Lepisosteus oculatus: one gene and its partner. The protein of the gene in region 2 purifies or fractionates together with the protein of the main gene of each other region. This does not show direct contact. Links are inferred from orthologs where the notes say so. Each region holds a gene or a part of one and is shown on either strand. Other genes may lie near its edges.

Region 1 (10,441 bases), on a different chromosome or scaffold from region 2:
GAGTGCCCTTAAGTCATTTCCTCTATTAAATACATACAGCTGATTAATTACTTCTGCCCCTCAAACGTACTGAGCGCCACTGCTCCCAATTCTCCCAAGGAACTTCTGAGCTGTAACCATTTAAACTCTTACTAGACACAACCAGCAGGACCCTCACTGACAGAAGGTGACAGAATCAGACAGGCAGAACACGTGGAGCAGGGAAACAGCCCACAGTGGCCACTGACTGGAGCAAAGAGGAACCCAATGCTGTTGTTGTTTCTGAGCTAAGGATTAGCAGCCCAATCCTCCAGCAGTGCCTGAGGCAGTTAATCACAGAGCCTGACATCGAGCTGCTCCTTACTCATCCCCCCATCACCCTCACGTGTCCGACTGAGCAGACAGTGCCGAGCGGTATCCCTCTCCGGCCTGGGTGTGCAGGACCCAGCACTGCGGCGCGACCACACCACCTCCAAGCCAGGAACACCGAGCTGCTGGCTTGTCCCCATACAAGCGGAAGAGACTCTCAGCACCTTCCCCCAGCCCGGTCTGTGACATCAGCCCACAGCTGTAACACACTGTCCTCACCCAGCTACCCTGTTGGCCTCCACCAGCACCACTGCTCTGAAAACCGACAGCAGGTGCAACTGACCACACCACCCTGAGCAAACCTTCCTGCTCAGATCTGAAAAAGGACGACATGTTTATCGGATCAACAGATGACGGATCAGCAGGACGAATAAAAAGCGTCAAATGCCCTCATCCTGCCTCCCGCCCACCTTTGCTCTAAGCACAAAGCTCTCCAGGGTTATAACACCTTGCAGGAGGCTGCAGGAAATCAGGGGGTCAACACCGGATATAGGCCTCAAGGCCTTGACAGGTCAAGAGAACGGACATCTTCACAACGAACTGGGAATCGCAAACCAGAGCAGACAAGTGGAAACAAGTTACCCAGCTATGTGGTTGACGCCAATAAACTGGTTTCTTTCAAGAAACAACTGGGATGAGAAAACGTTCGTATGTAGTATACCAATCTCATGAAAACACATAGGGCAGATTTTACGGTAATACTGCACAAAGCCTGCAGGACAGCTTCATCTTTCAGACACCACAGAGATTCGGCAGAACATGTGAGCAATGCAGCAAGATCTGCTGAACTGGTCCCCGCCACCTGTCCATCTGCACAAGAAAGACAGTCATATAAGACTGGTGCGACAAGCGGATTTAATTAACACCAAACCCCACCGTAAGGGTGAAGCCAGACAGGCTCATTCCATAGCCCCTGGTACTATCACTATCACTGAGCTCCTCTCCCTCCCCCTCCGAGTTACAATACAGAAAAAGAAACCTATCCGTTTCCTTCCCACTTCAGGCCTCTGTGACTTTAATAGTAAGTGCATGACGATGACTCTCGGTACTATAAATGTAGACAAACTGGCTGACGTGAAGCCAAGCCTGTGAGGCCAAGTTAACACAACGTTGCAGTGCTGTATGGTACGGAAGAACGTTTTCAGGAACAATAGTCTCCAAATTGAGAAATTCGTTAAACACCTGCAAGTGGAATGACATGTTGGATTGCAAAAACGAAATACTATTATTAGCTTGAGATAAAATTAAACATTTTCAATTACAAACCCATCTAACTCTCCACAAAAGTAATGACAACACCAGTACTGTGCACTGGGAAACACAAGAAACCTATCCAGTGCCATTTCTGAAAGCGGTTTGAACCAAATAAAAATGTCTACCATTCGCAGAAGGCTAGGATTATTACACCAAGAGAAAATACTCATCACCAGTCTCTGTCAATCACACTTCCGACTGGACATATGAGCAAAAAACACTTGCTTTCCTGTGCATGTTTGCTTAACCTTGGACTTATCTGATTTCAGTCATTCTATTGGAAAATATTTGTTAAAAATCCCAAGACATTTTCCACTTCAGATCAGACCTACACAACACCCTTAGTGCTGTCAGGGGTTCATGTTCCCTCAAAGGCAGTGACGCATTCAACCCAGCAACATTCTTCAGAATGAACAGTGAAACACCAACCAGAGGTACTTCTTTACACAAAGGAACAGAAATTATCAATCCCAAAGAGTAAGCAAATCAACGGCTAGAATGCAGAAACCCTAAAGGTTTAATCACTAAAGCAATTTGAGGAGAAAGAAAGCACTTTATAAAGTAGTAAAAATGGAACAGGTTCCAGTTCAAGTCTCAGAGGAATCAGTCCAGGAAATGGAGAGAGCCGATACATCACTATTTGACTCCGGTATTTACAGAGAAAAAGGGTTAGATCTTCTGTAATATATCAGAGTTCTTTGAACAATCAGCAGTAATGGATAGAGATCATAAAATTTACATGAGTGGAAAGCTGTTGACAAAGTTCCTCATTAAAGTTAATTCTAATAACACAGACAACAGACACTCAAAGTAATGCATGCCCTTGGGTTCAGAACAGGTTAATGGACAGAAACAATTAGTACAGAAAAAAAGTACGACTGCTCAGACTGGCATTGGTACAGATGTAATTAGTGGAGTAGCATAAGAATATGTATCAGGATTGCCGCTCTCCCTAATTTTTAACCAGTGATCTAGGTTCCGGTATAGTTCACAGTCAAATGCACAGATGATATCACAATACAAGGATTAGCAAACACTGTAGAAACTGCAAAGGAATGGTAAAGAGACTTTAGCCAAATTTAACTGCAACGTGTAGTGGGAATCTGGAATAAGCTGCCCAGCATTGCTGTCAGAGCCAATAAGAGCCTCTGGCTTCTTTCAAGACACAGCTGAATGAGATCCTCCAGTCAGAAGAGGAGGTAGATTTGTGTTCTTCACACAAATGGTGATGGGTGTCTGCCACAAGCTGCCCAGACATTTTGTTGAAACTGATACCCTGGGATTCTCGCAAGAAATGGACAGATGACCTTCGCTTAGTTAGATGGGCCAAATGGCCTCCTCTTCTCTGTGACCTTCCTAAGGTTCCAATCAGACTCTATATGTAATAGGAATGTAGTGATACGAGTGCCAAAGCCCACAGTCGCAACGCTGGGGAGGCACAGCAGAGCCGATCCGAACCGAACGGGCCTGGGAGACCCAGACAAGGGGGCGAGAGAGACGCGGGGGTACTCACATCCTGCCGACGCCCTCGTACATGCGCGTGTCCGCGGGCAGGGTGGTGACCTCCGTGTCCGTCAGGTGGGCGTGTTTCTTCATGCGGCTCAGCTGCTCGATCTGCAGGTCCGCCAGCTTGACCTTCTGCTGGGTGTCGATCACCTTCGCCTGCAGCTCGGCAAAAGCCTGCGGGTCACACCGCATCACGTCACACCGCGGCCACTCGCAGGCAGGAGGTCTGCCGTCGTCCCGCGTGGCGAGGCACTGCGAGCCGGGTTCGGAGGCACTGTGAGCCGGGTTCAGAGCTGCTGCCTTGCAGGGCTGTATGTTCTCCCCGGATTCGTGTGGGCTTCCTCCCACAGTTCAGAGACATGCTGGAAGGTTAGCTGGCTCCTAGGACAGCTGGCCTTGGTGTGAGTGTGTGTGTGTGTGTGTATCAGTGTGTGACTGGCATCCCGTCCAGGGTGTATCGCACTTTGCACCCACTGTTTGCCGGGATAGGCTCCAGCATCCCCGAAAACACCGAGCTGGACAGAGTGGTTAGAAAATGGATGGATGTACAATTATGCACTGAGTGCAGAATAATGAGATTGTAATAATTAAACAGAATAAGCATTATTTAACAAACGGGCAGGTGTAGCTGCTACAAGGGTAATTCAGATCTCCCACGTTATAGAAGCATAGTTTTTTAGTCGATGTTGGTAACGACCGCGATGAGATGCAACACATACGCGGGGTGTCGGTTCTTGGCCTGACTCACGTTTCGTGTAATCACGACAACCTGAACACTGGGCATCCTGCTGCTGGGACTCTACTAATCTACACTATCGCGGAGGAAATAATCGTTCTATTTCCGAAAGCAGAATGACATCTTAAAACACTTAACAAAGGAGATGTTTGGCTATATTAAAAACAAACTGACGCACGCTGCACGAACCAGATAATACGACGTTAATTTAAAAATCTAATAATGGTAAAATCACGCAATTAAAAGACAAAACAGGTATGACTTTAAGCTAGCTAGCCTTTTTCAAACTCAGAGGTCCTGTACACGCTTTCTCTCCACCACACGCTTTGTGACAGGATTAAAGGGCTGTCTCCCCGTTTTAAAACCATCAAAAGGCTACGACATGAGAGATAAAGTTACCAGAAACTAAAATGCTGCCGTTGAGAATGACCAACCGTTATCGTATAAGAATGAAATAAAACATTTTACCTTTTTCAACTCGAGATCTACGGGGGCTGCCATGTTGGAGAGGTGAACGCATGCGCAGTGAGTCCTTATCGGTTGCTAGGCTGCATGCCGGTAGCTCGAGTCATTACGTCATGCAGAGACGGTCTTACCTCGACCGCGTGTTAAAACGCCTTGTTACAGTCGTACATAGTAAAAGTACGTTTCATAACAGTGTGGCTTAGCTTTATTTTGCATAAAATGGAGCAATTCAGTGTGAACGTCTATATCTGAATAATTCATAATGCTTAGAAAGTGCATTCATATTAGTAGCATGACAGGTTGGACGAAATTGGTTTTGAGACATTGACATGAAGTGCAGCCATCCTTGATCTGCTGTCTCTGACTCCTGCCGGTCCCAGCCTGTGCTGGCGAGCTCTGCCCTGCTCCCTCACGGCCTGCTTTTCTAAAATTACACACGCCAAATTTAGACCTCAGTCTTTAGATTTAAAATGAATCTAAATATAGATAAGTACTATATTATGGTCTCAATTTCCCCGTGTCTGTATCGCCTCTGTTCCCTTGAATATGTCCCGGTTGTTTGAGAAACTAGGTCAATAAGACCATCTTCCTTAATAGGCAACCATGCAACCTGAGAGAGAAGCAGTTATCGACCAAATGAAGCACATCCATTTCACGATCCCCATCATAATATCCCGGTGTGTTCTGGAAGATGGAAACCTCCCTGTAGGATATCATATAAAGTATAAATTTGTACCTATTCCTAAAGATGGGGAAGACGGTTAAGTCATGAATCTGGAGGTGAGAGAGTATTCAGGTTTATGCCCCAAACTGTCTATAAAATTCCATCTCGTCCATCCAGTTTCTCACAGCTTTATCCTACACTGTGCAGGAGGAGAGCCAGCGCCCATCCCAGCAAGCAGCAGACTGAGGGCAGAGCTTTCCCTGGACAGTGCGACAGCCCTTCGCACTCTATGAAATGTTTTAATATTCTAATGAATCCCCGGTTTCGTCGATCATGGTAAAACTGCCTTCAGAAAGGCGTGATTTGATGGTTTGACAACCCCCGCCTGACAGCGCTCTCTGGGACCAGGGCTGGACGCCCCTGCTGTAGGCCTCCGGTCAGCCACGCTGACCACGCTGACTCCGCTGAAGCCAGGCAGAGCTGCGCCGGCTAGAAGACGGCCCGCGGGCCGGCCCGGCTCAGAGCTGACACCGGGAGCGTGCGGACACACCGCCCTTGACAGGACTGTCTGGGACGGAGCAGTGCCCGGCCCAGCGTATCGACTGGACACTGAACATCTGACCAATGCAGTTCAAAGTCGAGAAACGGTTAAAAGTCTCTAGTCAAGTGTGTCCATGGCAGCAATCGCAAAATTGGAGTGGAATGTGATCCAGGTTGTATAACTGGTGCAATCAGGAGAAGCCCCTGCTCCTTGTGGAAAATGTCTTGACCAGTGCTCAAGAAAACACACGTGATTGGAGGCTTCCTAATACTGAATCTTCAAATGTAGCTGTAGATTTTTCCAGTCATCCGAATGTGAAGTGAACGCCTGTGTTCTGGATCCCAGTGGGTTACTGCTGACCGCACACAGGTCCAACACGAGCTCCTGAGGCACCTCTGTCGGTCCTCAGCCTTCGCTGCTGTCGTCTGTCTCGCGGTGGCAGTGCGCGTGGTTTCGGCAGCTCGCCCTCCACCTGTGTGGGCTGGGTGACGCAGCCCCCCTCCAGCTGGGCCGGCCCCCCCCACTCTGGGCCGGTGCCGAGGTCGCGGGCCCGGGAGCAGGGTGCAGGTGTGGGGAGACCACAGGCCTTGGCCAAGCTGCAGATCTGTCATGTTTCCACTCAAGGAAGAAAGAAGAGCCTGAAGAAACACACGGACTGGGAGCTGCTATCTTTCAGCAAATAATAAAGGGATATTCGGCGGTTCAGGCAAGGAGTGATACAACCGACGAAGCAAGCCAAATGAATGTTAAGGGATTGCGTCATTAATTTCCTAGTGTTGGGGGTTAACTCTCCTGGCTGAGGAAGTGACATCACTGGCGGAGGCCCAGAGCTGCTGTCACGACCCCCCTCACTTGCGAGGGATGAACCAGCGAGGCAGCTGCAGGAGTGGAGTTGTGGCGCAGGGAGGAGTGTAGAAAAGATGGGCGCAGAGTTGTGCACAGGAGCCAGGTTTTTTTACTGAAGAGCAAGTTTACAGTTTGACCTCATCCTGAAATTCTAACAGCCCCGTTAGTAACAGCATGTGTGACAAGACACTTATTGGGCACACTTCAAACTTTTACCATGGCTTGACTGTGTTTTACTACTCTGGACCATGGGAATGCTGTGGTTTAAGAATAGTATTTCCATGGAGTATTTACTCACATGCACCACAGTAAATCCACGAGGCAAATGGGAAAATCCTATGGTAAATATATTGCAGTAAACTCTCAGATGGGCACCTATTCCATTCTTGTGCTGAGACCCTTTTCATTGATGGGAAGAGGACAAGACCCCTAAGGGCCACTGTAAATAAAGTAATCCTCAGATTAAATAGCTACGGAAAACTATATGAATAAGATCGGCCTGTTTAACCAAAGACCATAAGTCTTTTTTTAAAGTCTGCCTTTTCCAGTTCAGCTGAGTTATTAATGTCCCAGCTGAGACAATAGCCAAGCCTTAACCGGGCTCGACAGGAAATATCTCCAGTCAAAATCAAAATGCGTCGCTCCTCTTTCATGTCAGGAAATGGTGGTTTGCTCTGTTTTGAAACCCAGGATGCTCACATTGTGCTGTGCTGTATTTTCTGCAGCACTTGCATGGTGTGGCAAGAAGTTTATGAGAAATCAATGTGACAAAAAACACCAGCTTCCAGTTTGTGACATCAGTGGTGTACAACAGGATGCCCAGAAGTGAAGGAATACAGGCCATCTCAAGAGTCCTTCCTGACAGCTGCGCTCATGCTCAGTGCAGAATTCAACCACAGAGCATCCTGGGACTGTTTGGTTTATTCCTGCTGCTTCTGAGACCATGAGCTGGTCCTGTCTGCAGACTCACTTGCATGAGTGAAATGTGAATTCTCCTGTCGTCGTCAGGTTGAATTCACATTGAAGCTGTGTGGCTGGAAGTGAAGGAAGCTGTGTTTTGCATCAGAGAATTGGGAAAGGCTTCACAGCAACTGGATTACAAAAGGACCGTTTTGTGGCGTTACACAAGCCGGGCGAGGACCAGCCTGATCCTACCAACCGCTCCCTTATGTTCAACACGGTTTTGCAATAATTTGCTGAGTTTATATACAATGTCTTAGTATTTCACTCCAGCAATCTCCTTTACTGCATTTCATGCAGAAAGTACCCAGCCATTTACATTGGGGAAACTGGACTGGCCAGCCATTTCAGGAAACCTGTCAGAGCAGTTGGATCCAGAGACCTGCCTAAGCCCAGAGCCCCACAGTCTGCTTCCCCATGCTCATGAGCACTGACCATTCCACACACCCCTGGCCATGAGCACTGACCACTCCACCCCCACCTGGACGTGAGCACTGACCACTCCACCTCCACTGGACATGAGCACTGACCACTCCACCCCCACCTGGACGTGAGCACTGACCACTCCACCTCCACTGGACATGAGCACTGACCACTCCACACACCCCTGGCCATGAGCACTGACCACTCCACCCCCACCTGGACGTGAGCACTGACCACTCCACCTCCACTGGACATGAGCACTGACCACTCCACCCCCACCTGGCCATGAGCACTGACCACTCCACCCCCACCTGGACGTGAGCACTGACCACTCCACCTCCACTGGACATGAGCACTGACCACTCCACCCCCACCTGGACGTGAGCACTGACCACTCCACCTCCACTGGACATGAGCACTGACCACTCCACACACCCCTGGCCATGAGCACTGACCACTCCACCCCCACCTGGACGTGAGCACTGACCACTCCACCTCCACTGGACATGAGCACTGACCACTCCACCCCCACCTGGACGTGAGCACTGACCACTCCACCTCCACTGGACATGAGCACTGACCACTCCACACACCCCTGGCCATGAGCACTGACCACTCCACCCCCACCTGGACGTGAGCACTGACCACTCCACCTCCACTGGACATGAGCACTGACCACTCCACCCCCACCTGGACGTGAGCACTGACCACTCCACCTCCACTGGACATGAGCACTGACCACTCCACCCCCACCTGGACGTGAGCACTGACCACTCCACCTCCACTGGACGTGAGCACTGACCACTCCACCTCCACTGGACGTGAGCACTGACCACTCCACCCCCACCTGGACGTGAGCACTGACCACTCCACCCCCACCTGGACGTGAGCACTGACCACTCCACCTCCACTGGACATGAGCACTGACCACTCCACCTCCACTGGACGTGAGCACTGACCACTCCACCCCCACCTGGACGTGAGCACTGACCACTCCACCCCCACCTGGCCGTGAGCACTGACCACTCCACCCCCACTGGACATGAGCACTGACCACTCCACCTCCACTGGACGTGAGCACTGACCACTCCACCCCCACCTGGACGTGAGCACTGACCACTCCACCCCCACCTGGACATGAGCACTGACCACTCCACTTGTGTCCTTTCACTCGGAGGACAAGACTCCAGGCAGAGAAGAACATCTGGAGCTGGACTTGCCCCCCAGCGCTCAGCGATCGCTCCTCCTTTTCGTCCGTCTGCTCATGACCAACAGCTGGCAACGGTATCGGCAATCAAAGAACACCACAAAGTAGGACGTCTTTTTTTTTATTTCTACTGCTGCAGTTAGGAACAATTGTAATTGTTGCTCATACAAAAAACTTCAATGCAATGACATTTGTATTAAAAAGAGCATAACATTTCTGAATTCACATTAAATGGCAATATGTGTAATCTTGCAATTGGATACAGTTAGCACAGCATCGCATTTAACAGGACGTTATCTTACACATACAGTATATACACATTGTCTTTTACACTTAAGTTGCTTTTAATTTCATTGGATTTTTCTGGGAGTGCACTACACAGACTTACCAGAGCCAGTTCAAGAATACAATATTTTTTAACCTCCTATGAACTACAAATCTAATTTTGTTTAGTGTATGAAAAAGTAACCTTGATACAGTGAAACCCATTTAAAACATTATTTATCCTTCTGTTACCATGATAAGCCTGTGATGAGGATCTACCTTAACCCAGTGCAGAGAAAATGTTTGAACCCCCAGTATAATTATAGATAGAAAGAATTACAATTTCTTTCCATGGTACACTTGTTTTAATTAAAACCAGACAGTCTTTTCTTAAATATTCAAAAGGGCTCATATTTACCAACTTCATTGGTGCATGAAGTTGGGGAAAAAAAAAAAGTCATTAAGAATTGGTGTAGGTGAATTGAGGTGAATCCCTAGTTTATTCAGCATGATTAAGACGCTAATTAAAACGAGGTGGTTAAATAATTGAGCATTTAGTAAACATGGTCAGAAACATTGCGAGTTTGGCACTGACCACACAGGTTAGTGGAAACATCATGCCTCAATCAAAAGAGATTTCAGCAAGGATATCTGATGCTCCTCAGTTTGGGGCGAGTTATTAAAAGATGAAGAGAACCTGGTGAAGTCTAAGACTGTCATGAAAATAAATATGTCTATATAGGTCTAAAACTCACAAGAGTGCGACCCGCCCAGGGGCCACGTGCCCTCTCCCACCCGTCATGAGAATTAGACAGCAGGAGGTCAACATCACCAGCTCCGTCGGCCAGAGTGAATAATCGAGCCCCCAGATCTGCGACTTCAGGGAAGACAAGATTTTCTTTTTTTGCATCGCTAAGAGAAAAGTTGTATTTATTGCTCCTTGTTTAAATAAACACGCACACAAAAACAGTCATGAACAACGGGAAGGACAAGCCGCTGCCAATTAAAAAAAATAAATACATATAAAACGCGAGAGGACATCAGGCACAAGGCACTAACCAACAATAAAAATTACAATAAATAAAACTTTAAAAAAGGGTTTTACTCTTTTAAATAAATAAATTAAAAGGCATAATATAAATAATTGTCCTGTACGGTAAAAAAAGACAAACTGTTTTCTGTAATATACAGAAGGACCACACCACAGCGCAAAGCACCCAAAGGATG
Region 2 (10,702 bases):
ATCAATTTCACTGTGGCTCATACGTGGTCCTACATGAGCTTGTTATGACATAAGTGAACTGATAACTAAATTAGTCCAGTCTAATCACTTCCCATGTCTTCACCTTTCACTCAGTGATAAAGACCCTGTAGAAATGCAACACAGAAGCTTTACCCCTGTCGAACACTTCAGGCACAAAACATGTTTCCCACTGCTGCACTTTTAAAACTGTTTTAAAATGCTTCGCATAGGTTCTGAAAAGGGAAAGATTAACATGAATATGATTAGTACCCGGGCAGTGCGATTCCTTTTAAGCAGATCGATTCATTGGATTCAGTTCAGTGAACCTCTTCAAAAGATTCGCTCCTCTGATTCCCCAAGTCATTGAAAAGAACAGTGCCACCGAATACCAGAAAAATAACTACTTTATAAGGCTCACTCATTTACTAGGCTAAAGGGAACACAGGAAGAGAAACAAGATCAGACGATTGTGAAAATCCAAGAGAAAATATCCCTCATAGTTTGACAAGTGCTTTGACTTCATCGCCCCACACACAATTGTCTACTGCAAGGTAAAAAGCATCAAAACATAAGTAAAAATAAAATTTTATTATACTGAGTTATAACAGACCTCTCATGGAAGTAGACTGGGTAATATAACAACAGCGTCACAGAAAATGTTGATTTTTATTTACGAACATCTCAAAGGCAAGGCAAGACGAGAACAAGGGAGTGATGGTGGAAAACCAACGAAACAGCAACATCCCACTTGAGTTACCTCCTGCAACGGCCTGTCTGTCTGTACAGTGGCAGAGTCACACGTCACGGGCAGTACCCTCAGTCCAGGTTGGCATTCAAGAACACGATTTCACGCACTTTGGAAGGGCTAAAGTGATTCCTCCTCTCTGCGGCCACCTGCCCGGTCTTGGACCAGCTGCGCCTGCAGGGCGCGCACGCGGTCACGACGCACAGCTTCGCGGCCGTGACCCGGGAGAGCCTCTGATACACCGGCCGGCGGCTGGCCCACCACTGCAAAGGCTCTGCCGTCCGGGCAAGCAGAGGCTCCTCCAGAAAGCTCTTGACCTCCAGCGCGGCCTCCGATGACGGGGTCTGTGCCGAAAGGAGGTGCGACACGCAGTCGTCGAAATCGCGCCAGAACAGCGCCGAACGCGTGGCGGCCGGCGCCTCGCGGTCGCTCTCTCCTGGCGCCTCCACAGCGGCGGGGGCAGCCGCGGCGGCGGCGGCGACGTGCACCTTCCCCGCGGCCGCCGCGACGCTGCTCACGGCCTCCTCCGCCGCTCGCTCGTCTGTGAACGCCCGCCTTTTAAACCGGGGGTCCAGCAGGGACGCCTCGGCCAGCTGCGGCTGCCGCTCGATGTCGTCGAACCTGCGGGACATCGCCGCCTGGAGGGCGTTGAGCATCCGCGCCACCGGGCCGGGAAGACCCGCGTTCCTCGGCCGCGTGGCGGCAATCCTCTGCAGGCCCCTGGCCAAGATGATGACTTTCGAAGCCGACACCGTCTTTTCCGCACTGATTTCAGCCACCGCTTCGTCGAAAGGTTTCAGAATCCCGCACGACTCGGCCACGGTGTCCCATTCTTCCGGAGTCAGAGTGGGCAGGGCGGCGTCGACCAGTGCCAGCATCGAAACAACGGCATCTCTGGCCCTGTGAAACCTAGTCAGCATGCGGTAAGTGGAATTCCATCGTCTGGCAACCTCCTGCTTCAGTTTCAGCTCCTCCATGCCCAGTTGCTTCTGTAGAGACCTAAGTTTTTCAGCTGCTGCAGGACTTCTGCGTACATATTCCACTATTACTTTAACCTTATCTACAGTGGGTCTGATTTCTTGCAGTGCTTCTCTCACCACAAGATCTATGGTGTGGGCAAAGCAAGGCAAGTGATTCCACCCAGTGAGCCTTATCGCTTCGGTCATATTAGCAGCATCATCATCACTGACAACTGCCACAACCTTGTCTTGTATATTCCAGTCCGCAGCAATCCGAAGGAGCTCATCTTTCAGGTTGGCAGCTGTGTGCCCGTCGGCGAATCCAAAGCAGTCAAGAAGGCATGAAGACATCTGGAAGTCGGGGTTTATGAAATGGCTGGTGACTGAAAGGTAGCTGTGCCCATTGTGTGTAACCGATGTCCAGCAGTCTGTGGTTAAACACACAGCTGATGCTCCCTTTACCTTCTCCTGCACTTCAGAAAGGGTTCTTTCATACAGCTGGGGAATGATCGTCCTGGTCAGAGCTTTTCTGTTTGGCAGCACGTAAGAGGGATTGAGCTGATTAATAAAAGCTCTGAAGCCCTTGTCTTGGACAACTGAAAATGGCTGATAATCCATCACTATCATTTTCGCAAGGGCTTCGTTCAGACGGTCCTGCCTCGCGGGCGACACGGCAGAGCTGCTGGCGCTGCTTTGCTCCAGGCTTGCACTGCTCCTGGTGGGGACCAAAGCCCGATGCTCGTCTTCCCTGCTCCGGGTGCTGCTCCCTGCAAGCGCCGAAGCTCCAGCTTCCTCCCTCAGCTGGGATCTGTTTGCGCCCGGCTGCACCAGGGGGTGCTTTGTTTTGAGGTGGCGGAGCAGGTTTGTAGTTGACCCTCCTTTGTAAGACAGCTCGCTGTGACATATGTCGCACTTGGCCGTGCTGCACGTGACCGAAGTGAAATGGCTCCAAATGGAGCTTCGCTTGCGGGTCGCGGCCGTCGTGCTCATCGTCCGAAACGACCACAAAACCGTTACCCAGCACGGCAGGTTTCAGAACGATCCAGCGAGCTCTGCGGCATGAAACAGCAAGACAACATGAGTCGCAAACATCACCAAGAGCCAGTCGTCAGTGCAGTTCAAATGGAAAAAAAAAAGGCTCAAGAGATCGCATCCGAGCGCTGTAGAACCGTCTTGTAAAAAAAAACACAAAGACAAAAATTCTCCAAAAACAGAAGCTACACAAAAGTGGAACCTTTCACCTCAGACCGAAAAGCCCATCAAAGAACAAGAGAGAAATAATGTCTGGTAGACACCTCAAAAAGGTAGTATTCAGATAAGATAAGATCACTTTATTAGCCATATACAATTTCTTGTATTGGGAATTGGTCTTTTTGCTTATCCAAGCTTTCTCTCTGTGAGACACACAGACAGGGAGAGAAGCTTGGGGTCAGAGCACAGGGCCAGCCATTTATACAGCACCCCTGGAGCACCTGGGGTTAAGGGCCTTTCTCAGGGGCCCAACGGAGTAGGATTCCTCTGCCAGCCGCGGGATTTGAACCGGCAACCTTCCAGCCACAGGCACAGATCCTTAGCCGCAGAGCCACCGCTCTGCCCCAATCACACAAGTATAAGACAAACAGTACCTTTCTGAAAGTCAGACTCATCAGTGCTCAAATCACCTGCGAGACCTCTGAGTGCACTTACTCTGAGTGGACAATACAAGAGAGGGCTCAGCAAGGAAGAACGTGTGGTCCTGGGAGTTTTACTTTAGATTGTTTTGAAGGGCTGCCTTTTCACTTTACAATTCTCAGAAAAGACCGAATTACCAACAAATACGATTTAATCATTTAGATATTTTAAAACTTCCTATCAACCATCTACAGCTCCATTGATAAGCTTATAACCACTTAATGCTTACCGTTTTGCACCCAGCATGCAATTTCAAGTTTTTTGTTCTCTGAGCTCTATGTCTGGACCTGAACTGTTCCGCAAAAGGATGGCTTACCCACCTCCCAAATAAGGCTATTTGAAATATTCCATAAAACTCCCAATTTTCAAAAAAAAAATTCTACAACAGTCAATATTGGCTGCTTCAATGATCCTTGAGTGGGAAGGAAGGATGTTGAAAAGACAAATGGAAAACTTATGTGACACTGTATCCAGCAATTCAAACAGTGTACTTTGTCTTGCATTAAAGAAAAGACATACTGGTAGGGGCAATTCATCTAATAATCACATTTTTAAGCCAAAATTGAATTGAAAGTCTTATTTGAGTCACTGTTGATTTCGGATTACTTTAAAATATACATTAACAAAAAAATAAATAAAACTGGTATAATTATGTATCTCCTAGTATGTACATCTAATGTTATTATTATAGGCTGAATTTTTTTAAAAAATCGAATTAATGTAACCATCTGAAATATGCAGCAAAGTATATTCTTCGCGCACTATCACAAACCTCATACACTTCATTAATAAGAGGGTAATTTTATGTTTCACAATGTGCTATTGCTTTATGTTCACTGTTGCTTTATGTTCACCCGAGTTTCGATGTTCCTCCCATACTCACTAAAATCCGAGAGACATCATTTCCTTAGTTGGCTCGATGCTCGATTTGTCTCTCTAAATTGAATGACTTCGTGAATCAAATAAACGAATCAGAACGAATCGTCCGCGAATTGCACACCTCTTAATACGATTTAAAAGAAAAGATTTGGAAACAGCCACGCCACTCTACCGGTTTTCAATGTGAGGGTATTTATAGAGAACGATCACTTATTTAATTACGTTATTCCGGATATGTTATGAAAGAAAATAATTTTAAAGTCTGCTGCTGTTTGTAAAGCGAAAGCTTCACGGTGGTAGTACTCATTTATTTTCTATTAAACACACGCTCAACACACCCAGCTAAGAGAGCACGCCAGCCCCGTGCTGTCTATAACCCAGATTAGCTCACGGGCTGGCTACGCCTTTAATTCGTCTTGCGCATTTTGGAGGGTACTGTTCAAACGTGAGATGTCTCTTCATCTCCCACTCTAAATCTAGCCTAAATCGGTCCTCACCTGCTCCAACTGGCCCTTCAGACCCTCCAGCTGAGGTAATGTCAGCTCTGCAAGATTCACCGCCATATTAGAAGCAAAAGCAATCCCAGCGGCCGCGCCGACTTCCGGCAGAGACAGGAACTTGATGTTGCTTAGTAACAGGCGGTGCGCTTTGTCTGTCTCGTCTCGGTAATAAATGTGAAACCTCAGGAAGGCTACAAACTAGAGGCCAGTTCATTCGGCGGAGCCGGTTTGCATGCTAGCGATTTGCGCATCTCATCCAGTTGTTTCTTGAAAAAAAAAGCCAAGGTTTCAGTTGCAACGACATGAATGCGTAGCTTGTCCCACATTTCCATAGCCCTTTGTGTAAAGGAGCTTGTCAGTTTGGTCCCAGAACAATGTGGACAAACCTGACTACAATTTTCTATTTTTCTGCAAGTGCTGCCAGCATGTGAAGTTGGCTCATTGCAATTATCCTGTATAAGGCATTGAGATAAGGCTTCCACAAACATCAGTGTTGATTTAGGTCACAAATAAAGCTGGAGATAGTAAAACCATCAATTTTCTAATCACTTCATCCAATTCACAGTCACAGGGGAGCCAGAGCCTATCCTGGCAAGGCACAGGTGCATGGTGGGACACACCCTGGTTGGGACTCCAGTCCACTGCAGGGTAGTCACATGCACTCACACCAGGGTCAGTTTTCCCAGAAGCCAATTCACCTGCCAGCATGTCTTTGGACTCTGGGAGGAAACCTGTGTGAACCTGGGGAGACCATGCAAACTCCACACAGACTGCTCCCCAGGAATTGAACTCGGGGCCCCAGCGCTGTGAGGCAACACTGCTAAAAACCCCACCACCACACTGCCCTAATAGAGATCAGTTAAAAGAAAATCAACAGACTGCAACTGTAAAAATAAAAAAATACACATGCTCCTGCATTGATTTAAGAGTGACCTGTTAGACCTCCAGGATAACAGCACTATAGGACAGGGGTGGGGCCAACCAAGGCATAAAGATGGAGACCAGTTTAAACTTCTGTATGGCAGTTTAGTAAAACTATACACTTAACAGAACTTTTTCAAAAGGAGACCAAACCATTGCAAATATTTTCTTTATTACATACTTTAAAAAGGAATGCATACATTGTTCACAACCTTAAAATACATATACACAAAATGGTAGTTAAAAAATAAAAGCAAAAACCATAAACATATACTGGCCTAAATGTCAGGGGATATCCGAGCACACACTTGTAAATATAAATAAATGCACTGGATTTGGCTCTTTTTGGCTTGCTTGAATAAAGGCCAATGGGTTTGCATGAACAGTCTCAGGATAGTGAGAGATCCATAACTTTGTCTTGTCGACAACACTTTCCTTCACTTGGAGACCGTTGTAAAACCCTGGGAGTTTATCCCAGCTCCTGCATAGTCTGGCATTTCTAAATACAGGGAAACAAATATAAATCCCACTGCACAGCCAATTAGTTCCGCTGCAAGTTTAACAAGCTATATTATCTCATAAAAGCAAATGAATAATTAATGGCAGTTTCCAACCCATTTTCAGAACATGCTTAGACAGACGTGGAGATAATAAATTTCAAAATGCAGCTGCGGTTATTGCACTCAAGGACCCCACCCCCAGCTCCAGATAAAACCTGGAGAGATCAAGCGGATGCACAATGCTGGAATGTGGGGAGTTACAAGAAAGGCAGTCAGCGCAGAGACACGGGGAGACCGTACACCACCGGGGCAGCGCCGATGAGGTGTTTCAGCCGCGGCGCCTGGCGGGATGCGGTCATGTGATCCAGGAGGGGCGCCCCGCGACCGGCCCCCAGCCACAGCTGCAGGAGGGTCTTCATGAAGCGGTCGATGTCCCGGTCCGTCACATCCCACAGGTTGCCAAGGACCAGCGGGCTGGGAGAGATGGCAAGAATTGCTCATAACTAACATTTAAATGATGGGGATGGAGATGTACAGATACTGATGGATGCAAGTTACCAGGGAAGATTCCACTGGACAGCGACAGACTAGAAGAGCAATGCTGAGAGCAAGGTGCTGTGAAATGACAGGTGGCGGTACCTTTCCATATCAACATGCTGCAATAGCAGGTATACAAACTTATAAGCTATAACAGCATCACAAACACACAAGGTTACCATGGGCCAATGTGGCATCTTGCTGAAAAATGCCAGGGGCTGCCACCTGTTAACCAGCACCACTCCTTAACATACGATTCATCCATTTTTTAACAGCCTAATCCAATCCAAGCAACAGGTGCACAGCAGGATAAACCCTGGATGGGACACTAGTCCATCACAGGATACGCACACATACCAAGGACACATTTCCCAGGAGCCAGTTAACCTACCAGCATGTCTTTGAATGTGGGAGTAAACCGGAGCACCTGGAGGAACCCATGCAAACACAGGTAGCACAGCAACTCTACACAGATAGCAGCCCAGGTCCATAATTGAACACAAGGCCCGAGCTCAGTGACCCAGCGATACTGACCACTGCGTTGCCGTGCCCCCCTTAAGTTGCCCCACTCTTGACATGACATGAATAGAAATCAAGTCCCACGTGCCCATGTGTTCACAACAATAGCAGGCCACTGCTAGTATTTAAGTACAGCAGCAGCACGGAAGCACGGTGCTCTCTCACCAGCCAGCCATGAGGTAGTTGAGAACGATGCCTGTGCCTTCCAGTTCGCCTCGGACCGCCAGCGCAGCACTGCTGCAGCCGAAGAGGAGGGACACAGCGTGGAAATCCTGCCGCAGGACCGCCGAGCCGTCCAGGAACCGTGCCCCGGCCCCATGTCCCGCGTAACTGCGGAGGAGAGGCAGGTGGTTAGAAAGAGCCCACAGAAGCACACCCAGTGGAGCAGGAACTGCTGCCTCCACTAAGCTATCAGAGATCATTTGGATGGTTCAAACAACCTGTTTCTTAAAATCTTACTCAGCTGCTAACTGAGACGTAGGACTAAAACCTACAGAACTCCAGGCCACTGAGATCAGCAGGTACACTGCCCTGACACTCACACCGGGGCCAGTTTTCCCAGATGCCACCGGTTCGGTGGCATCTGGGAAAACTGGCCCCGGCAGAACCAGCATGTCTTTGGACTGAGAGAGGAAACTGGAGCACATGGAGGAAACTCATACAAACATGGGCAGGACATGCAAACTCCATGAAGATACCAGAGCACCACAGAGAGAGAGAGAATGGGGAGGCAGAGACAGACGGAGACTCGGGAACTGGCTGCTAGCACACACAGAAATGCAGAAGGGTGCAGACTGCCACACCAGTGATACTCACACATAGAGGTCCTGGGTGGAGAGGGCCTCTTGCACCTGCTCGGGGGTCGGGGCTCGGCCACACACACCCTGCCAGCCCTCCTCACTGCAGAGAAGGTCCAGGCCACCAGTCAGGAGGGGGGACGGGGCAAGAGGCACACCGGTGGAGAGAAGAGAAAAGCAAGGTGAGAAAAAACGAGAGCTAATTAAACAATTCTGTGCACCATCTCCCTTTTCTTGTCTTTGCACAAGCTGTTTTTGTTTTTACACTTGCTGTCACAGATCGGATCCAGCCCAGTGGTCAGGGCTCTAATCTTAGCTGGAAGGTGGCGGGTTCGAATGCTGATGTCGTGCAGTCATACTTTTAAGGGAGCTGAATCACATGTTGCTCCAGTAAGACGCCCTGAGGAGTCCAGCTCCAAGTCCAGCCATCCATTTTCTAACCACTGCCTTCAACTGAGGATCGCAGGGAAGCCAGAGCATATTCCACAAAGCAGTGGGCGCAAGGCAGAGTACACCCTGAACAGGACCCCAGTCCATCGCAGGGCATACAGACACACTCGCACCCGGGCCAATTTTCCCAGAAGCCAATTAACCTCCCAGGATGTCTCTGGACTGAGAGGAAACTGGAGCACCTGGAGCAAACCCACACAAACAGGGGGAGGGACATGCAAACTCCATGAAGATAGCACAAGGAGTCCGGAATGTAATGGAGCAGCAATCCTAACCACAGCTACACTGTGCCACCCTCCCAGCTCCAAGTCATTTTAGAAAAATGTCAGCCTAAATAAATGCTAGAAAACTGCACACATTAAGCCCTAATAGGCCTTCCCACAGTATAGTATGGGCCTGCTCCATTGAGCAGGCCACTAAAATTGCTCAAGTGGGACCTGTGCATTCATAACAGGTCGCACGCCAACAGGGTCACATGGGCAGAGCCTGCTGGCGCTGGAGCCCGCGGGTGTGCGCGCCTGCGGCAGGCTCTCACCTGGTGAACCAGTCCCGGAAGCGCTCCTCGGTGCCCAGCAGGTTGGCCTGTGGGTTCAACACGTAGAACGTGCGCCGTGGGTCCACACCCTGGTTCAGAACCGAGCGTGGGTCCAGCTGGGCAGGGAGAGAGAAGCAGTGAGTGTGGGCCGCTACAGCAGGCCGCTAAAAAAAGCCTAGTGCCACCACCTGCAAAGTTCCCCTGACTCTGCGAGCTAGTGAGTGCAGAAAAAACACTCCAAAGATGCAGCACCCAGAAGTTCTCGTATCAGTCTCTGCAAATCCAACACTGATTAATAGTACTGCACAAGACATTTGGATAACGCAAAGCCAACATTCCTAGTGTAGAAAGACGATCATTCTTTCATCAGCAGTTTATATTCCACAGGCACTTACTTTTATCTGCGAGAGACACACAAGTATTTTAAAGACTAAACTACAGCAAAATACACAATTTGACAAACTGCTTTGGTCTGTAATGAAAAAGAACTTGACCTGCAAGAATCTCATGGGCTTCTTGTTCATTATCCTTCCCACTTAAAGTACAAGGGTTTTCTCTGACAGAGCAGTGGCAACATGCTTGCTTCTTTATGACCATATTTCATAAAAAAGAAATGATGTAACTCATTCTGGCCCTTTGGAAGTTTTTCCTTCTGAATGATTTTGCCAGAGAGGCCCTCACCTCTCCAAGGGTGTGTGTGTGTGTGTGTGTGTGTGTGTGTGTGTGTGTGTGTGTGTGTGTGTGTGTGTGTCGCTCACCTCTCTCAGGATGCTGGGCGTGTGTGTGCGTGCGGATCGCTCACCTCTCTCAAGGCGTGTGTGTGTGTGGAACACTCACCTCTCTCAGGGCGCAGTGTCCCAGCAGGAAGTGCAGAGAGGGCAGCCGGGTGACAGCGCGGGCTCTCAGACAGGGCACACTCTCCCAGGGGAGCTTCTGCAGGTGCTGCACATACCAGCACACAGCAAAGATGAGGGCACACATTGTCTTCCCACAGACTCGCATTTTATTCGGGATGTCTACATTGCAATGGCATGTGTATATCATCTTTAGATTCTGTCCCCACATTTATAGCAATACATGTCCAAAATGCCAAAGTAGAACTCCATGCAATGGAGTGATCAGCAGCTTGAGTCCCCAACACTGGGGTTTATACAACAAGAACAGAAGTCAAAACAAGATCAGAAAGAGAAACAGGTGTGTGGTCACAGACCTCTGCAGACAAAAGGCTTTCGGTACAAGATCCAGAACTCTTCCAATCTATAGCAGTATTCCCAGGGTGCCAGTACCTTGTCCAGGATAAGGACGACATGTCCCTTTGGCTGGCTCTCCTGTCGGTCTTTCAGCACAGTGACGGCAGACTGCAGGAGGTGCTGTGCTTCATCGGGCTGCGTCGGACACAACCCCCCAGCCAGCAAGCGCAGGTCCGAGGGGGAGAGGAGAGGAGCGGCGGTCAGCACAGCCTGCAGCACAAGGGGAAAGCAGGGAGTAACCAGAGCACTCAGCATTCGATTCAGAGATCTAGCAAAGCTGGTGATGGACTTGGACCAGGGGTATCAGACAGAGCTGAGCTCTCCAGAACAAAAAACAAACCCTGAACGTTTCTCCATGCAAACATTTTTCTAATTTCTAATCTTCAATAATTCTCTAAAATGCATGGAAAAGTTGTCAAGGATTAGATCATAAAAGCAC

What was found.
Region 1: the proteins of pfdn5 (region 2) and pfdn1 purify together in Homo sapiens (affinity purification with mass spectrometry; 7 studies listed by BioGRID and IntAct, with this or other methods). This does not show direct contact. The link is inferred for Lepisosteus oculatus from reciprocal best matches to the Homo sapiens genes PFDN5 and PFDN1.

The regions. Positions count from the first base shown.
Region 1 is NC_090706.1:41,107,203-41,117,643, reverse strand, and holds the start of pfdn1 (prefoldin subunit 1), read right to left. Parts: upstream 4,411-10,441; 5' UTR 4,346-4,410; coding exon 4,313-4,345; intron 3,283-4,312; coding exon 3,116-3,282; intron 1-3,115. UniProt on the Homo sapiens protein: Binds specifically to cytosolic chaperonin (c-CPN) and transfers target proteins to it. Binds to nascent polypeptide chain and promotes folding in an environment in which there are many competing pathways for nonnative proteins.
Region 2 is NC_090696.1:20,600,614-20,611,315, forward strand, and holds the start of pfdn5 (prefoldin subunit 5), read right to left. Parts: upstream 4,863-10,702; 5' UTR 4,818-4,862; coding exon 4,752-4,817; intron 1-4,751. Other genes in the region: espl1 (separin), read right to left, coding at 6,448-6,649, 7,397-7,561, 8,048-8,131, 9,014-9,129, 9,851-9,955, 10,300-10,473. UniProt on the Homo sapiens protein: Binds specifically to cytosolic chaperonin (c-CPN) and transfers target proteins to it. Binds to nascent polypeptide chain and promotes folding in an environment in which there are many competing pathways for nonnative proteins.